Linked DNA regions of Danio rerio. Each later gene encodes a partner of the first gene's protein in a complex. Links are inferred from orthologs where the notes say so. Each region holds a gene or a part of one and is shown in the gene's direction. Other genes may lie near its edges.

Evidence for each region.
Region 2: snrpd3l (region 1) and snrpe share a complex: the UniProt entries of both Homo sapiens proteins name them as parts of the U7 snRNP complex. The link is inferred for Danio rerio from reciprocal best matches to the Homo sapiens genes SNRPD3 and SNRPE.
Region 3: snrpd3l (region 1) and ppil2 share a complex: the UniProt entries of both Homo sapiens proteins name them as parts of the minor spliceosome. The link is inferred for Danio rerio from reciprocal best matches to the Homo sapiens genes SNRPD3 and PPIL2.
Region 4: snrpd3l (region 1) and rbm48 share a complex: the UniProt entries of both Homo sapiens proteins name them as parts of the minor spliceosome. The link is inferred for Danio rerio from reciprocal best matches to the Homo sapiens genes SNRPD3 and RBM48.

Annotation. Positions count from the first base shown.
Region 1 is NC_133196.1:14,699,839-14,704,689, forward strand, and holds the start of snrpd3l (small nuclear ribonucleoprotein D3 polypeptide, like), read left to right. Parts: upstream 1-1,687; 5' UTR 1,688-1,804; intron 1,805-3,653; 5' UTR 3,654-3,661; coding exon 3,662-3,787; intron 3,788-3,893; coding exon 3,894-4,086; intron 4,087-4,851. UniProt on the Homo sapiens protein: Plays a role in pre-mRNA splicing as a core component of the spliceosomal U1, U2, U4 and U5 small nuclear ribonucleoproteins (snRNPs), the building blocks of the spliceosome.
Region 2 is NC_133186.1:40,122,243-40,127,221, forward strand, and holds the start of snrpe (small nuclear ribonucleoprotein E), read left to right. Parts: upstream 1-1,941; 5' UTR 1,942-2,063; coding exon 2,064-2,117; intron 2,118-2,406; coding exon 2,407-2,433; intron 2,434-3,795; coding exon 3,796-3,858; intron 3,859-4,979. UniProt on the Homo sapiens protein: Plays a role in pre-mRNA splicing as a core component of the spliceosomal U1, U2, U4 and U5 small nuclear ribonucleoproteins (snRNPs), the building blocks of the spliceosome.
Region 3 is NC_133180.1:13,583,928-13,589,100, forward strand, and holds the start of ppil2 (RING-type E3 ubiquitin-protein ligase PPIL2), read left to right. Parts: upstream 1-2,135; 5' UTR 2,136-2,243; coding exon 2,244-2,275; intron 2,276-2,580; coding exon 2,581-2,630; intron 2,631-5,173. UniProt on the Homo sapiens protein: Has a ubiquitin-protein ligase activity acting as an E3 ubiquitin protein ligase or as an ubiquitin-ubiquitin ligase promoting elongation of ubiquitin chains on substrates.
Region 4 is NC_133194.1:42,804,018-42,808,911, forward strand, and holds the start of rbm48 (RNA-binding protein 48), read left to right. Parts: upstream 1-1,856; 5' UTR 1,857-1,933; coding exon 1,934-2,059; intron 2,060-2,195; coding exon 2,196-2,386; intron 2,387-4,238; coding exon 4,239-4,384; intron 4,385-4,468; coding exon 4,469-4,894. UniProt on the Homo sapiens protein: As a component of the minor spliceosome, involved in the splicing of U12-type introns in pre-mRNAs.

The DNA of each region.
Region 1 (4,851 bases):
GATATTTTTCAAGACACTTCTATACAGCTTAAAGTGACATTTAAAGGCTTAACTGGGTTAATTATGTTGGCAGGTTAGGGTAATTAGGCAAGTTATTGTATAACGATGGTTTGTTTTGTAGACTATCCAAAAAATATATATAGCTTAAAGTGGCTAATAATTTTGACCTTAAAATTGTTTTTAAAAAATTTAAAACTGCTTTTATTCTAGCTGAAATAAAGAAAATAAGACTTTCTCCAAAAGATAAAATATTATCAGACATACTTTGAAAATTTCTTTGCTCTGTTAAAAATCATTTGGGAAATATTTAAAAAAGAAAAAAAAATCAAAGGGGGGCTAATAGTTATGACTTCAACAGCATATTTTTGATCCATTTTATATATATTTTTGATCCAAACATCACAACAGCGTTCATTTTTGTTAATTTTTTTACGTTAGCAATTTTAACTTCATGGGGACCTATTATGCAAAAATTCCCTTTATAAGAGGTCTAAACAGTTGTGTGGAACAGTCTGTAAATATAATCACCTTCTAATGGTAAAAATATATTAATTTTAGTCTGCAGAAAAACTTTGATTGACATTCTCTCTTTGTAGTGACAATCTGTCCCTCATTAGCATATTACATTAGTCTTGTTTTTGAATCTGCCACTATGCTGACACACAGGCATTTGTGGCTCCCCTTTTTAAAAAAGGGCTGGGAACACAATATCATTTGAATTTAAAGCGACAGTAACCAAAACGACATCAGAGACTTTTAAAGATTTCACAAACTTTATATCTTGTAAAAAGGGCCATAAAAAGTCCCCTTTAAATCAGTTTGATTGATGTAAGTTGAAATTACTAAAATTAAATTGATTCAACTTAAAAATTTAAAACAGCAACAAATTTTTTACAGTGTATTATGGTAATTACTTATATATTTTTAATGTATGAAATAATGAAATTATGATTTTTGGCTGGGTCAGTTGGCATTTCTGTGTGGAGTTTGCACGTTCTCCACGTGTTGGTGTGGGTTTCCTCTAGGTGAATTGAATAAACTAAATTGGCCGTAGTGTTTGAGTGTGGATGAGTGTGTTTGGGTGTTTCCCAGTACTGGGTTGCAGCTGAAAGGGCATCCCCTGTGTAAAACATATGTACGATAAGTTGGCGTTTTATTCCGCTGTGGTGACCCCTAATGAATAAAGGAACTAACCCGAAGGAAAGTGAATGAATGAATGAATGAATGAATGAATGAATGAATGAATGAATATTGCTATACTAATTTGAAAGATAAAATTGACATTATATTAAATTCAATTGTTTTTAACAATGTGAATAATTCAATAATTGTAATAAAAGTAAAATAAACATCTTATATATTATATCATAGCTGTATATAATACAATATACAATATTTAAAAAAAACTGTTTTAATAGGTTCATTCTATCGATTTTATTTACAGTTCTTCTCATATATTGGATTTCAAAGATAGATTTAACAAACTAATTACAATATGAATATTTAAAATTAAATCAAATTACTTAGATTAACTGTTTATTATGAATGTGACACTAATTTGACTCAGATTTAAAACACTAAATTAAATTATTTTAAGTAAAATGCACAATTCGATGCTGCCCTCTTGTGTGCGAGTCTTGAGATGTTTGCTGCGTAGTTTTAATACGGACTTCACCTCCCAGGATGCAACTGGTTTTCAGGAAAGGGCGGGGCTTTTGCTTTCAGGTGCATTGTGGGAGCGGGAAAACGTCGCACAAGCTCACGTTGTTCCGCTGCTGTGTTTCAACGAATCTGCAGATTCAAGGTACTGTAATGCTTTATGATTATAACCTGATAACTACGTGGGGTATTTTGCGTGGTTCTGTGCTAAAATATACAGTCCTTTTTCGATTATTTAGTAGAGGAACATATATTTCGGTCATTCATTGTTTGCATTCACGCGACTCGTTTGAGAGATCAATCTTGGATATTCATTAATGTCTATCGCTTCATCCTGTTATTGAGTTCAGTAACGTTATAAGTCAGTTTTTACAAGTACCGTAGCCAAATGATTTTATGGTGTTTCATATTCTAGCGTGGATTCTTTCCAGCTAACGTTACATGTTTAGAACATGATTCTTAAACGAATGATTCGTAAGAGTCGGTTCATTTTATTGAATCAAAAGCAAAAAAGGTATAATAAATCGTTCTAACGAGTCGGTTATTTTAAATTACTCAAAAAATATGACATATTATTTTTTTCTATTTAAGAGGTGACTTTGGGAGTTATTTTTTGTTTCATAAAACTAAACCTGGCTCTTATAAATAAAATCCAAGTCAAAGGGTAACCTTTGATATTCACAAAACATATACAGTCAAAAGCTAAAGTTAAATGTGTTATAACTATATATTTGAGTTAAAACTACACTCTGATTTCGACAGTATAAGCAAAAAGGCTGTAATGGTAATATACACTCACTTTTTACACATTCTTCATTAATCAGAAGCAGTCTACTTCAGATTCAGTGACGTTACGAGCTCCTCCCATGCTTACTGATATATATATATATATATATCAAAGACATTAAGGGGATGATACCAGAACAATTTTGAGCATGGTTGTTGGAAGATGTTGTAGTGATGCTATCATTGAGAAACCAAGTAAGACACAGGACAGCTAATGAAGGATCCAAATACAATTTTGATACCCATTATCAATAGGAAAGTAGCTAAGCAGAATCACTCTGCAATATTGCCGAGCAACATTGCTCAAAAATAGGTTTGACTAAAATGTAAGTCTGAGCCGTTTCATCTGAAAGAAACATACACTGAACTGATCTTAATGCATTTCCGTGTGTGTTTTGGTTGGTAAGATGGAAAAAATCCTAAACTTTATTTGATAGATTTAGAGCAGTAAGAGGGTAAAGATGCTAAATAAAAGTTTAGTACACAGGCAACAAATAGTATAGCAGGAATTTGACCTGACAATGTAAAAAATGCAAACAAATAACAAACTCTCCTTAATATGAAGAACTGTAATGTCACATGAGTGCAGCAGTCATCGGATAAACCCAAAGAAAGGGTTTGTGTGCCCGAGACGAGACGCATGCTGTAAATGCTCCACCCTCTTACAAGCAGTAGCTCATTTGCATTAAATAGGACACACAACAACTGTGTTTGGGGGGCATTTACAGCATCAGTCTGTGGAAGAAACTGAGCATTATGTACAGTATTACCTTAAACCCCCAGCCTGTGCACATGTTTAGCCTTTTCATTAAGGTCTCCCGGTGACATAATGATGTGCATGTTGTCGTCAATATTGTGGATGGGATGAGGTTGAATTATCAGCAAATTTTCACTTTGAAAGAACTATCCCTTTTATAACCATTGGTCAGTGTCTGTTGTCTATATATATATATATATATATATATATATATATATATATATATATATATATATATATATATATATATATATATACACATACATACATACATACACCACACACACACACACACACACACACACACACACACATACACACACACACACACACACACACACACACATACACACACACACACATATATATACACACACACACACACACATAGATAGATATATAGATGTATAGATAATATTTTTTTGGTAATTTTGTTTTTTTTGTCCCACAGTTCAAAACATGTCTATTGGCGTACCCATCAAAGTCCTGCATGAAGCAGAGGGTCACATTGTGACCTGTGAGACAAACACAGGTGAAGTGTACAGGGGAAAACTGATCGAAGCAGAGGATAACATGAACTGCCAGGTACTGCTGAACTGAAGAACAGTTTATCCCACTAAAATCGCATTCTTTTAATGTCTGTTGTCTCGAGTCATGCAACTGACTGCGTTTCTGTTGTGCTGCGAATCAGATGTCCAACATTACAGTGACCTATCGAGATGGCAGAGTGTCACAGCTCGAGCAGGTCTACATCCGTGGCAGCAAAATCCGCTTTCTCATTCTGCCTGACATGTTGAAAAACGCCCCCATGTTGAAGAGCATGAAAAACAAAAACCAAGGAGCAGGAGCCGGTAGAGGAAAAGCTGCTATTCTCAAAGCTCAAGGTTAGTTATTTTAAAAAAAGTTACCTTTTTTTTTAAATTCATTACAGTGTTTGCAGTCATATTGTGTAATTTTTGAGCCTTACTTTGCATTGCATTGGCAATGATTGTAAGCTGCGCCAGAGATGCCTTGAGACGGCATATTTTCCATTAAGCTATTGTTTACATTAAAATATTTGTTTACAAAAGATGCAAGAAATGCAATTGCTGTTCAAAATATTATTTACAGGATATACAAGAGCTATTTTATTTAAAAGAGATATGGCTAGTTTTATACTTTTAATATGAAAAGCACAGAAAATAATTTATTTTGTTTTCAAAAGTGCAAGTTATTTATTTTCAGAAAACTGACTGTTGGTTTTAGGTAATGTGTGTTTTAAATTGAGATCTTCAGTGTTGATGATCAATACATAATTATAGATAGTGTGTGTTCTTCAGTTATTGTAAAATCAAGCAATGCAACCTTCATTCAAAAATCTCTCACTTGTAATATCTAAACATACTTATTTGTCAAAGCTTGTCAGTGAAATATGAGGGCAAAACACACACACACACATACACACACACATACACACACACGCACACACACACACACACACACGCACACACACACAATAATCATTCATTAATCGTGATCTAGTTAAAATGTTCAAGTAATTGAGAATTACACTTTAGACCAACTCACCCAGCCCTAGTCAAGTGCTCTTTAGCCAAATCAATAATTTGCATGGTTTCTAATAGCATTTGTGTATTATAGAACTTTTCGAT
Region 2 (4,979 bases), on another chromosome or scaffold:
CATCAATTACACTGATTTTACTATCTTTATAACAAACATTATATGAACATATATTATAAAACTTATAAAAATCACAGAGATTTGGAACTTTGGAGCTGGAATCTCAGTTTATTTGCATATACATTTATGTGTATATATGCTATTATATAAACATGGTGCCTGTCAATCAATTCGGTGGGCGGGGAAAATAAAATAAAATTGCACTCCTACATCAAGCGGCGATGTGCCTCAAAATCACTTGGATTTGGGTCCTATTTTTTACGTTAGTAAATAAAAATAAAAAAAAGACTTGTGTTTGTATCACTCCAATATGACAGTGGACAAATTACACTTACAAACTCCAACACTTTCTCTCCAAACAGCTTACAAATGTTGATTTTCATCATGGGTGCCCTTTAAATGTGTGTGGCCTTTATCCCAGTGTCAGTCAGACTGTTGAATATTTAGAATATTTTATATATAATATTGTATATTTGCATTCACTACTTCTGTTTTTAAAATGTATGTATTGTCTGTTTTTTTGTCCTGTCTCTGTAATAATGTTGCACAGTCAAGCTCTGTCACGAAACCAAATTTCTCAAATATGTGAACATACCTGGAAATAAAACTCTTTCTGATTCCCAACACAGATCGACCGTGTGCATATGTTTTTTGTTTGTGTATGCAATTCCTAGCATGTTTGTTTTTTTAATTATTTTTATTGTGTCAGAACTTGCTGAAGTGAGTACACAGACGTACACAGAGTACGCAGAAAATGTCCTCTTGATGGACAAAGTATAACTTACAAAATAAACAAAGAAAACATCAGATTTTCAATGACAATTTAAAAAAATATATATTATTTATACAGATTATAAATACATAATATATCAAATACACAAACGAAACAAGAGAGAAATATACTAAGTTGGTAACAAATATATTCCAATATTTTAAATAATACAAATATTTAAGAGTCACTACAGATAATGGATTGTGCTGAGCTATTGAGAAACAACTACTAAACAATAAACTATAGAGTTTAACGCGAAACTAAAACAACATATACATATACAATTAGTCAATTCAATATTTTTAACCTTATTTTCTTCTCCCTTAAGTAAATGTAGATCGAGCTAAGTAATATAATTGCCAATGTTGACAACAAGATAAGCTAGGCTAGCTAATAGCCATGCCACATTACGTTACAAAAGCTCAGCTTACATACAGTTAAGTCGTATTAAAATGAACAGTTTTTCACTAGAATTGTGTACTCTTAAAGATAAACAGAAATATAATCATAAATGTAATAAAAATGGCTAAATCACTCACCGCCGAGCGTCTCTTTAAACAACAACAGACACACTGACCGTGCAAAAGCCTGCGCGGTACGTCACACACACCTTGTGTACTACGTCGAAAACTACGCTTCAAATGTGATCTATTACATATATCTATGATCTATTAATGCGTCAATAGCATTACATTTCAATATCAGCGGAGCCTTGGTATATTTAATAAGAAATTAAATGGAATAGCTGTACTTTTTAATGTAATAAAGCGTTTAAATGAAACTCTAAGGGTAAATGCTGATTGAAACCGGTATAAAGACCATGGTCGAAAGTTTTTGTCATCAAAGGACTTTTTGAGAGCTAAAGTGGGAGTATGCCGATTATCTTTTGATCTTTTGCTACTTTGTTTATTTCTGATCGAGCACCTGCTTTTGAAATTTTTAGATGTGCGCACATTTCTGTTTTTTTTTTTTTTTTTGCTTTGAAACCGGTGTATTATTATTGCACATAACGTCTTAACAACTTTTAATAGTAGTATGCATTATATAAAGTTTAAATAAAGCATTATATAAAATTGTGTGAATCTGCCTTTCTGTAGTGTCTCCCCAAGCCACAGGAGGCATTACATAGAATCAGCGCGCCATTTTATCTGCGTCATTCTGTTTCCGGATTTGCGCCGCCATTGAAACAACAGCAGCCAACGTGAGATTTTCGTTGCCGCGCCAATAACTATTACACTTAATATCACATTTTGTCACTTTTTATAATAACATCCGGATATTATTGAGAAGAATGGCGTACAGAGGACAAGGACAGAAGGTTCAAAAGGTCATGGTGCAGCCCATCGTATCCTTTCAGGCCAAATAGCTGCATTGAGCTCTCGCCATTGTACCGATATGTGTTGGATGTGTGCTGTTATATGTATAATGTAATATACTTTGACATATTATTGTATAATATAATATAGTTTAGCATATTATTGTAGGTAATATAAGTTGTGTTAGCTAACATTTTGAATACTAAATACTTTTAGCAATGTTTGAGCTGATTATAACAGTGTCCCTGCGTTACAAATGAATGAAAAAGGTTATGAATCGTGTTTATATGTCATTTGTTTCCTTAACGAGTCTTTCAGAACCTTATTTTCAGGTATCTACAGAATGTAAGTACTTGTTTTTCAATCTGCGACATACACAAGCTTTTATCTGTCCACATATGTCTATTTTTTCATGTGTTTATTGTATTTTTGTAGAGTAAAATCTTTATTCTGTTATACCTGCTGATTTATAGATGTCTTGATAAATATCAAAAGTGGTAGTTCTCTCAGAAATGAAAATATTGTAAGCATTGAGGTAAAGTTTGTTAAATTATATTCACACATTCTGAATTTCACGTTCAATAAAATACAGGTCATGGAAAACCTGAAAAAGTCATGGAATTTTGACACAGCATTTTGCAGGCCTGGAAAAGTTTTGTAAAAACAGGGAAATCCACAGAATTTTGGAAAAGTCAGAGAAATTAGTTGAAAAAATATCTGTACACTTGATTTAGCGCGATATTGAAAAGATCTGACTTTACAATATTTTGTATTTCTGTGATCTATATTGCGATGTGAAAACTATTTCACCTGGTGATTTAAATAGAGGTAAAGTTGGTTTTATATTCTGATATTCAGACTTTCCCCTTAATAATATAATTACAGAAAAGTATTCTTTGCAAATTGTAAATGGGGAAATCATATGAGCAGCAAATGACTATCAAAGTACATTGTTCACAGTGAATTAGATAGTGTTAATGTTGTTTAGAACTCATACGTGCATGCTAATTCTGAATATTTAAGGTAACATGGTAAACAATAAAGAGACTGCAGTGCTAAATGAATGAATGTGTAAATATAAAACCAACTTTACCTATTTGATTCAACAGGTATATTTGGATTGATTGGGGGAATTTTGTAGAGGAGTGAATCTTGAATAATACATAACAGATCAATTACAAGCATAGATAAATAAAATATAGTAAAGATAAAATATAATTATAGTTTTCAGATAATCAACACTGCAGAGTCTTCACTGTATATTATTTAATCTTTATTAGAGTTACAAAACATTTCTTGTGGCCGGATGTTTTGAAATTTGAAATATTGAAATGTTCACACAGTCACAAGCCTTATAGGGACAGTTTACTTAAAGATTAAAATGTACTCACTATTTACTCACCCAACCGTTTACTCCATTATGATTAAACTCGAAATTAAACTATTATCTAATATATATAATTTAATATAATTTTAGGGTCAAATATCGACACGCCCAAACATTGGGTTAAAAAGTGACATTTAAATTTCATTAGATAAAAGGTTTTGTCCATATTTGACCCAATTTTGGGTTCCGACAATCCAGCATTTTTTTTTTTTTTTTTTTTTTTTTTTTTTATACAATGTTTTTTAAAAATTGTTTTGTTTAAACCACTTGGCACAAAATCTAAATGAGCAGTTGGTAATAATTTTCCTGCTTCTTTGCAGCGTTCCCGAATCTCGGTGTGGCTGTACGAACAGGTCAACATGCGGATAGAGGGTTGCATCATCGTGAGTAAAGTCTCCGATTTACCAATAACACTAGAGCTGGGAATCTGGGCTGCTTGATCAATTGAAATGAAAACTCAATCCTACCTTTTCAGGTTAGCTAAATCCTAATTCACAACTGACAAAATGCGCATAAAAATCGCCTTCAATTTATTGCCCAGCCCTACTGGGATTCTTTAATTAAATCAATGCATTGAATCAATAAATCAATATTCAACTGCAATTCATTATAAAGTGATGAGTATTTATTTAATATAGCAGAAGACGATATTATTAGCCCTCCTGTGAAAATGTGAGTTCTTTTTGTTGAACAGAAAACTGGGAAATCTTCTCGATATGTCATGTATGTTTTTTTCCTCTGGAAGATGTACATTTATTTTACTTTGGAAGGAAGTAAAGCAATTTTGACCTTTTAAAAATAATCTCAAAAGTTAATATTATTAGCCCCCTTAAGAAATATTTACATTTTTGATTGGCTTCAGAACAAACCTCTGTTCTCCAATGATTCCCTGATTACGAATGCTTTATAATCATTGCTTATGAATGCTAATTACCCTTAAGCTGAATGCTTGTATCTTTTAAAAATAATATAGCAAAAACAAAAGAAATTAGTAATTAATACTTGTTTAAAAATGTGCTGGAACAATCTCTCTGCTAATCAGCACTTGGGAATTATAATTATTATTTTTATAAATATGCCATCATCGGTGTATAATATTTACTCCTTTTATCAGTACAATATACACTCACAAGCCACTTTATTAGGTACACCTGTCCAACTGCTCGTTAAGGCAAATTTCTAATCTGCCAATCACATGGCAGCAACTCAATGGCTGTTTCTCAATTCCAAGAATGCAGAGATTGGACTTGCGTTCTTGTGGAGACCAGTCTTGCCAGTTTTCCTTGGAAGAACAAACTCGGGAGACCACGAGAACAGGGAACGCATCCAGTGGGAAATGGGATGCTGCGTTCTTCCTGATGGTCACGTGACCTTCACTCGTTTTAATTTAAAATTTAAACATTACAGCATTCATACAATGAGTTATTGTTTTTCCCCTTTTCAAAATATATACTCTGCATAAAAACATTATAAATATACGTTGCACAGTATCAATAAAACAGAT
Region 3 (5,173 bases), on another chromosome or scaffold:
TTTATGTTTATTAATTTATTTGTTTTTGTTTTTATTCATAACAAGAACAATAGCATACAAAAAATTGAGGAATACCCCAGCAAACAATTTTGTGTTTGATAGACATCTAATAGACAACTAAACGTAGACAGCCTGACTAAAACAAGGTTAAACTTGGGCTGTCAGTGAAAATCTAATAGACGACTAAGAATAGCCCAAAACTAGACTAGTCGTCAAAAAGAAAGATTAGACAGACTTTATATGTGTAATCATTCATTTCTGTTTATTTGATGACTAGTCTAGTTTTGGCCTATTCTTAGTCGTCTATTTGATTCTCACGGAAAGCCTGAATTTAGCCTTGTTTTAGCCAAGATGACTATGCTTAGATGTCTATTAGAAATCTTTTAAAAACAAAAAATGCTTGCTGGGATCTGTCTATTTGACGAGTCTATTTTGGGGCTGTTCTTAAATGTCTATTAGATTTCCAGTGACAACCTGAATTTAGTCTTGTTTTATTAAAGATAACTTTAGACTTCTATTAGGCATCTGTTAAAAACAAAAAATGCTTGCTGGGACAGTACTTCAATTTTTTTTACATCAAATGAACAAATCAATAGAGAATAAAAATTAAATAAATAAAAAAAATATATAGGGAACATATAAATTACAATAAATTTGTATAGGAAATTGATTCCAAAATTGCATACATCCTTATAGTTTTTTTAATTATTAAAGTATTTTAGGTTTTCAAAATAATGCGTAAGATGAATTTTAAACAAATAAATGTTAGGTTTATCAATGGACCACTTTTGTTTGTGCATAATAGAGTACACCCCATTTTGAAAATGAATATTTTTCTCCATTTCTTAGTGAATATAGGAAATGTATGTTGGTGCATTTAAACAAAACAGAGTTATTAAACAGATATATTTATTAAAAAAATATTTTGGTCACCAAACATATTTAAAAATTGAAAAATAATACAATTAAATTCAAGCAAAATATTGTGAAAAATGTACAACTTACAAAATTTCAACTAAATTTTTCATTTTATTTTTTTGCTTCTCTTGATTTTTCCTCTTTTTTAAACTTATATTTAATATTTTTCTCTAACATATACATTTGACTGTACTCGGTTTTTTGACCGTCATCATAAGTTATTTAGATAAGCTCCAGATTTGGCTTCAGTACTGACTAATCTAATGTATATGCACAAATATAATATTATATAGCTTCCTATTAAAAATATGAATTTAATAGAGTGATTTGTGAGGGGTGTAGCCTATATGTTGAGCACTGTATAATCATTAAATTAATAAACAAAATTTGCTCCAAAGTTTTATTATTATTATTGTATGTCAAAAACATCTTTACAAGAAAACTGCATTTTTAATTTTGTACGTTTAAATATAACATATTTAACATCAAACCAAAACATTTGGGAATATGTGCATTCAATGAGTATTCAGGTGTTTCAGCAATTCCTCTAATTCACAAAAAGAACATGCAGATTGCATGTCTAAAACGTTTTTAACAACTTGTTTCACGGGATAGATGAAATGAATTAGTTTATATGTAGGCCGCGCGGTGGCGCAGTTGGTAGCTCTGTTGCATCACAGCAAAAGGGTCGCTGGTTCGAGTTGACGTTTGTGGCATTTGCATGTACTCCTCATGTTGGTGTGGGTTTCCTCCAGGTGCTCCGGTTTCCCCCACAGTCCAAAGACATAGCTATAGGTGAATTGAATAAACTAAATTGGCCGCAGTGTGAGTGTGTGTGAATGAGTGTGTATGGATGTTTGCCAGTACTGGGTTGCAGCTGAAAGGATACAACATACGTAAACATATGCTGGTTAAGTTAGCGGGTCATTCCGTTGTGGTGACCCCTGATTAATAAAGGGACTAAGTTAAGCCGAAAAGAAAATGAATGAATGAATGAATTCATAGGTTTCATGTTTTTTTTATTTTGTGATCAACAAACATCAAACACTTTAAATATCCCCCTCATTATTGAGTATTATTCAGACATCCCAAGTTGAGCATAGACATAATTTACAGTAATTAAAAAACGAATTTTATGAACAGTATCTCAGTCAAAACCGAAGAGGACCAAAAAACATTTTGTTGTTTTAGGTCGGTTGCATTTACCGGTCGCGCCTAGGACACACCGGAAGTAGAGTATTTAAACAGTCGTGCGTTTGTGTTGCTTGTTTATAAACTCCTGAATTTTAATTCTTTTATTTAGCACCACCGCTTAGGTCGCAAAAATGGGGAAAAGACAGCATCAAAAAGACAAGATGTGAGTTGCTGGAGTGAAATATGACACGTTTGCTAACGGTTGAATTTTATTATTTCACTGAAAACTGAGTACGCTTCTTTAACTGTTTGCGTTGTTTGTATTATTTAGGGTTTGTAATGTTTTAATTTTAATTTTGGGACAGTAAGTCGTTCTTCATTCAGCTGCAACGACGGCATTTTGATTAATGTTCATGTATTAGATTCAGCGACGTAACATGAATTATCTAAAGAATGCAAATATGTAAATGACGACGTTATACTCTTTATACAGCTTTCAAATGATTTATTCAATACTCTGTTTTTCAGGTACATTACATCTACAGAATACACCCAGTTTTATGGAGGGAAGAAAGCAGGTATTTGCGTTAACCTGATGTAACGTTACTTCAAGTCATGTCAAGCTTTTGGGACTGTAGGACGTACCATTTTTGTTTCTTTATCAAATTAAATATAACTTATAAGTTACATAGAAAACATTTGAAATGCAAGAAAAGTGTCTATTTGAATATAATTTCACATATTGGTGAAATAGAAATAGTGTTATATCATTTAGCGTAAATATATTTATGCATATAGTCAGTAACAATTATGTTTGGGAAAATTATTCAATAAAAAAATAATAAAACACAAAACAGTTGTCATTTTTCTAGTGGGTCTATATATATATATATATATATATATATATATATATATATATATATATATATATATATATATATATATATATATATAGCAGTGTGATATGGCTGTATATCTGGTGGGAGATGTGCGTTGGCATGAGGCCGAGTGCCTTAGTGCCCCCGCCAGTGCCGATATACAGCCATATCGCACTGCTACGAGTGTGATATTGCGTTTATACAACAGTTTAACGGCATAATTGTGTATATAAAAACAAAATCAAACATGGAGATTCTCAAAAACCCTTTTGTATGAGGAACTACTTTCTTCCACCTTGGATTCAAATCATAAGCTGATAGCTAAACAGCTGAGCAAGCATCTTTTAAACTTTAGATCTGTAGTGTCTGCTTTTTTGCTGGTTGTATGTGGGCGGAGTAATACACAAAAAAAAGAGGTAAAGAGGCTTTACTGGTGCTGAAATTACTTAAATATATCACGGCTATTAGCCAATCAGATTCAAGAACCAGACAACTGTTGTATAAATATATATATATTGCAATAACTTGTTTGAATTTAAATATATTATCTTTTTATTGTTAAAGGCACTAGGTATCCAAACTTTTATTTTAATGGATAAAAATATTTTGTTTAAATGCACCAAGATTATTGGCTGTATTTTCTAAGACGTGGATAAAAATATACATTTTCAAAAGGAGGTTATACTCATTTATGCTGAGCACTGTACAGGGTTCATACGGTCATGGAAAACCTAGAAAAATCATTGAATTTTGACTTGACATTTTCCAGGCCTGGAAAAAAAGGAAAACCCACAAAGTTTTGTAAAAGTCATGAGCTGCGTCCCAAATGGCACGCTATACATTAAGCACTATGTACTTATGCACTAACACAGAGGTTCTCAAAGTGGGGGTCGGGACCCCCCGAGGGGTCGCGGGACAATGAATGGGGGTTGCCTGTTGATTTTCAAAAATCAATTAATTTTTATTAAACCTTAAGACTAACTGTATTTTATCAATAACCTACTGATGAGAAAAAAATAGTTGTTTATAGTTACTATAAACTATATAGTTACTATAGTAGCTTATAGTTACTAGTTCTATTGGATTGCGTCTTCTTGAGTAATTACATTATACTAAAGACACAGCAATACTGTCAGATGCAGCAGATTTTGGAACACCAGGTTAAACTTTCTAACCCATTTACAGCACTGACATACATAAAAAAAACAAAGAATAGACTTGGGTCTATTGGTGTGTGTGCGTCATTGCATACAAGGTTTCTGTATTTATAACCACCACCTCAGAGAATATTGGGGGTCACGAGTCACTGGCATTCTCATTTTGGGGGTCGCGGGCTGAAAAGTTTGGGAACCCCTGCACTAACACACTCAACAGCATAGTATATGTATGTATTGTCGTCCCAAATGGAACACTAACTGTTATTTTGCTAAACGGAAATTCAAACCATTTCCCTGATGACGTTTGATGGTTGCCATATTAGTAAAATAAATGACCAAAGGACCAGATAATATATGCAAGGATAACCGCATTCACCTTCGGGAGGCGCTATAATCACTCTTGTAGGATAATTTTGCTTTCACAATTCAAAATAAATAAAGTAATCCAACATGTGCACCCTATACCAATGCTCCTTCCGCTATGTGAGCAAATCTGAGATTGTTGAGTGCGTGAAGTGTCCAACATTCCACACTTCATTGTAATAGTTGAACGAGTGCATCATCCTGGTATTAAAATGCACTTATTATTTATAGAGTTTTCAGTGTGAACACACTACTTGCACTATTTATACTACAAAATGGCGTAGAATAGTGCGTAAGTATGCGATTTGGGACGCACCTATGGAAAACAGATATCTGTATACTTATAGGTTAGAATATAGGTTAGTTGTCTTGACTTCTATTCTGTCCTTGGCCAATCACATTCTCACATTATTAGTGTGGTTGTAAGCATTATCTACATAAGTTTTACATAGAAATGAATATAAATTTGGCGTCACGGTGGTGCAGTGGGTAGCACAATTGCCTTACAGCAAGAAGGTTGCTGGTTCAAGCCTTTGCTGGGTCAGTTGGCATTTCTCTGGGAGTTTGCATGTTCTCCTGTGGGCGACCCCAGATTAATAAAGGGACTTGGCCGAAAAGAAAATGAATGAATGAGTGAAATATAAATTTAAACTAAATAGATTGTTGTGTGTTTTACAAAGTGCCGTAATAAATTTGAACACTTATTGTTTTTCTTTTGTAGAC
Region 4 (4,894 bases), on another chromosome or scaffold:
ACATTATGGCTGTGTAAAAACAATACAGTGTGTTAGTAAGTACATTATGTTACCATTAAAAACGATACGAGTTCCTTCATCGTCATTTTAAAGCTTTACAAATTCATCGAGGATTTCTATGGTGTTTTAAGCTCTCAGTCGCTTTATTGCAACATAAACATTTAATTGCCACACACACACACACACACACACACACACACACACACACACACACACACACACACACACACACACACACACACACACAGGTTTTGTAAGAATACACAGTTTTTTTTCCTGAAAGCTCACCACACTGATCTGGATCATCTTCATCATCTTTGTCCGCCTGTTTCTTCTTCACAAACACGACCTCTGAATAAACCACGTCCTCAGACATGCTTCTGGAGGGATGCTGCTCAAAGCCTGTATCACAGAATGATGGGGAAAAGAGGAACCTCGTGCTCCTTTCTGTCAAGAATCTGTTGTCATACCTTATGAAATAGCAGCCTATGATAAAACCATTTTATAAAACGGATATGTCCAGTCCTTGCTGCTGATTGGTCATTAGCCGGGTTTTAATTACAACTACAGTAATGATCTTGTAGCAATACTGTGCAAACATGTCCGTGTGTTAGTATTAATATTTATTAAATGAAATATGAGTAGCCCCGCAAAATGTATGTATACGTTATTCATTTATTTAATATGTGTGTGTTTTGGGGTTAAAACTTATCCAGCTGCAGATATACACACGTTTCAGGCACACACGATCTAAGTTAGACGGGTGTTAATGTTATTAACCTCTTCTCGGACATCATCAATATATTTTACACATAAGGTTATTGTTAATATGTATTGTATAGGCAAACACTGTAAACAATAATGCATAGGCATACCATTTCACAAATATAGCGATCAAGACGGGCGAATGGGGAATAATCACCATTCAATATAATACACTGAACAGTTTTCCATCAGTCATCATAGATGATCAGTCATTATTTATCTGACAAAGTCAACATAGCAGATTCTCGTTTGCTCAAACATTTTAAACGATCTAATTTGGACAGGTTTAATTTATTTAATGGATGCATAATGAATGAAATATAGCTAATGTACAGGATAGGCTAATAGCCTACATCATTATATCAATGTAATGTACAAATCTTTTTACATTTAATAAATGTAAAACACTGTTAATCTTTTACTCCAGCAACTGAATAGTATATATTTGCTTAATTTTCTAATAATTTTTATAATGATCTCCCACATTAAATAGGCCTACTAGTAATTTATAGTAATATATTGAGTTCACCCCAAAAAATCAAATGGGCTCACTATTTACTCAGAGGTTCAGGTGGTTCCAAGCTTTTCTGAGTTTCTTTATTCTGCTGAACACAAGAGATGTTTTGAAGAATGCTGAAAATAATTATATGGAAGTTTTGTATTATATGTATTTTTAAAAATCCTAATTTGTGTTAAGAAGAAAGTAAATCAAAATGGTTTGGAACAAGTCAACAACCTAGTAAATAATGACAGAATTTTCGGTTTTGAGTGAACTAACCCTTTAAATGGGTAAAAAAAGAAGCTTGTTTTAAACGTTAAAAACTTAAAATAAATTTATAATATAGTTTATAATTAATTCGTCTGCATTTATAATAGTTGCGACATTTTCTGCGAGTTAGCATCTTACAATTTTGACTTTTGTCCAAATCTTTTTGATATTTATTTTATTTTGTTAGAAGTGTTTATCATAATTTGGATGTGTAAATGAATTATTATTATAATTATCATCGTCATTATCATTATAATATTTTTTTATCACCATCATCATTATTCTTCTTAATATTATTTTTATTAGCATCCTTTTGGGAAAGCGGGCTTTTATTTATTTTTTCTAATTGGAACTTTTATTTTGAAAGCCTGTTTTTTTTCGTCGCTGATTTCCACAGTGATGGACGGGTCAGTTGCTAGTTCCTCTGTGTGGGACACACAAAAAGTGTATAAACATCACGAGCAGCAAAATGTTGCCCAAACGCGACCAAAATACAGAGAAGGAAGACGCCTCAAAGCTGTTAAGGTCGGTTTATTTTATAAATGCCTTTATCTCATCGAATTGTGCAGCGTCAATGTAAGCAGTCATGTTGTCTTTAAGGTCTCTCTCACAAGAACTGAATCTCTGCTTATAAAAATAATGGCTGAATCGCTAATTTTAGGTGTACACCATCAACCTGGAGTCTCGGTATTTACTAGTTCAAGGAGTGCCCGCTATTGGAGTGATGGCTGAGCTGGTGCAGCTGTTTGCTCTGTATGGAGTGATCGAGGAGTACAGGCCACTGGATGAATACCCAGCAGAAGAGTTCACTGAGGTTTACTTAATTCAGTTCCAGAAGTTGACGAGTGCACGGTAAGAAAAGGCTGATTAAATCATGTCCCATGCGAGTCTGTGCCATATATTATATATTGTGCCATATTTTTCTTGTTGATGATATAATTTCAGAAAAGTATTCTTTGCATATTCTTAATAGTGAATCAAATTAGCAGCTAGTGACTATCAAAGTTCAACATTGTTCACAGTCAAATAAATAGTGGTAATGCTGATTTGAAGTCATACTTGCATGTGATTTCAAACCCAATATTAAAAGTACCATGGTAAACAATATAGGGAGCATGTCACAAGTTGTCATTGAAAGAATGTGTGAATCTAAAACCATCCTTACCTCAATGTACCATGTTGGTGCACTGCAGAGTCGCATTCACTTTTAGTTAAAGGGATAGTTGACTCAAATACTGTAACAATAACAATTTATTCACCCTCAAGTGGTTTGAAACACAAAGGAAGATATTTTGAAATCTGGAATCCAGTAACCATCAACTTGCATAGTAGGACAAATAAATAGTATTGAAGTCAATGGTTACCGGCTTCAAGCTTTCTTTAAAATATCGTTTGTGTTCAGCTCAGACGATGTTTGTGACATGTAACGGGTGAGTAAATGATGTCTATTTTTATTTTGGAGTGAACTGTCTTTGTAGGTTCCACAAAATGTGACTTAAAACATTATGATTCATTATTAAAATATTAAATAAACACATATAGAAAACTATATACAGTACACACACTACCATACAATTGTTTGGAGTCTTCCATTTTGAAAATGATTTTGAAAGAAGCATCTTATGCTCACCAAGTCAGCTAATATTTTTTTAACTAAAAACAAAGCATCAACAATCGGATGTATTATTACATTGTCACATTTTCTATCTTGTTTAAAAGTGTAATGTATTGTGTTGAGGATGAAGGGTAATTTTCATGCTTGGTACTCGCATTTATACATGGTTATTGTCACATGACTCTTCGGAAATAATTAATTTGCTGATTTGTTGTGCAGTATATAATTTCTAATTATTATCAATGTTGTAAAGTTGCACAACTTAACATCCAAAACATCTAAGGGTTTTTTTTTTTTTTGTTCAAGATTCTTTAATGTTCTTTAGTGTCTCTTTCTCTTTAATAACACTGTAAATCTCTTTACTGCCATTAAACATTTTAAGAATATTATAAAGAGTATTTATTGCTGATAATTCTATAAATACTTTTTTACATATTTTTTCCCCTCTAAACCAAAGCAAAAATCAAAGAATAATTATTTCAAATATATGGAATTAAGTAATCGTAGTTATTTTAATTATATTTTAATAAAACTATATATTTTTAGGATAGTGTCAAAGTAAAAATAGCTGTACTGGGATTTTTAAAAATATGCCTGACAAAAATTGTTTTTCTTATAAACTATTGTTACACTGAATGACATCCACTCACCGGCCACTTTATTAGGTACACCTTACTAGTACCGGGTTTGACCTCAGAACTGCTTTTATCCTTTCTGGCATGGATTTAACAAGGAGCTGGAAATATTCCTCATTAATTTTGGTCCATATTGACATGATAGCATGTCATTGAGCAGATAGGATGGATCCATGCTTTCATGTTTGAACTGGAGCAGATTGTCTCGACCATGTACATGCATAAATGAATTGAGTTGCTTTCATGTAATTGGCTGCATAGAAATTGGTGTTTACGAGCAGTTGGACAGGTGTACCTAGCAAAATGGCCAGTGAGTGGATATTGCCATGCTATATATATATATATATATATATATATATATATATATATATATATATATATATATATATATATATATATATATATATAATTTTTTTTTTTTTTTAAATTAATTAATTAATTTATTTTTTTACAGGGCAGCTAAAAGGCACACAGATGAAAAGAGCTTCTTCGGGGGTCAGCTGCATGTCTGCTATGCTCCTGAGTATGAAACCGTGGAGGAAACAAAGCAGAAATTACAAGACAGAAGGAGATATGTTAACTGGGCAAGCCGAAATGCAGGTATGGTAATGCATTGGTATTCTCTCTAAATAAATTGCATGTGTAGAAAGTCTAACAACTATCATATGCTTATTTTGTTTTCAGCACAACTACACAGTCAGCAAGCGGAAGTAAACACAGAGTCATCATCAAGCACAGACACACGAACAGCTGAAGCTCCTAAAATGCAGAAAAACCCTGAAGAAGCCAGAAGGGAGAACGTAAATTCTGACTATATGGGATTTCCTCTGTTGCCTTTGCCTCCAACAGCAGATATTTCTTATAGACTTCAAAATCATTTTACCCAGCCATCACAATTACAGTGGACCAATGAAACGACAGAGGATAAAATGGGCTCTCTGCATAATTTCATCCCTCCTGTACAAAAAACCTCAACGCAGAGTGAGTCTTCCTCATCTTCAGGTGTTAAAGAGGGAGATTTGAGGCAAAAACAGAAGATTTCCACTCCGTCTATTAGATTTATGCCAAGGACTACACATTTAGAGAGCAGAAAAAGGAAACTAGATGAAC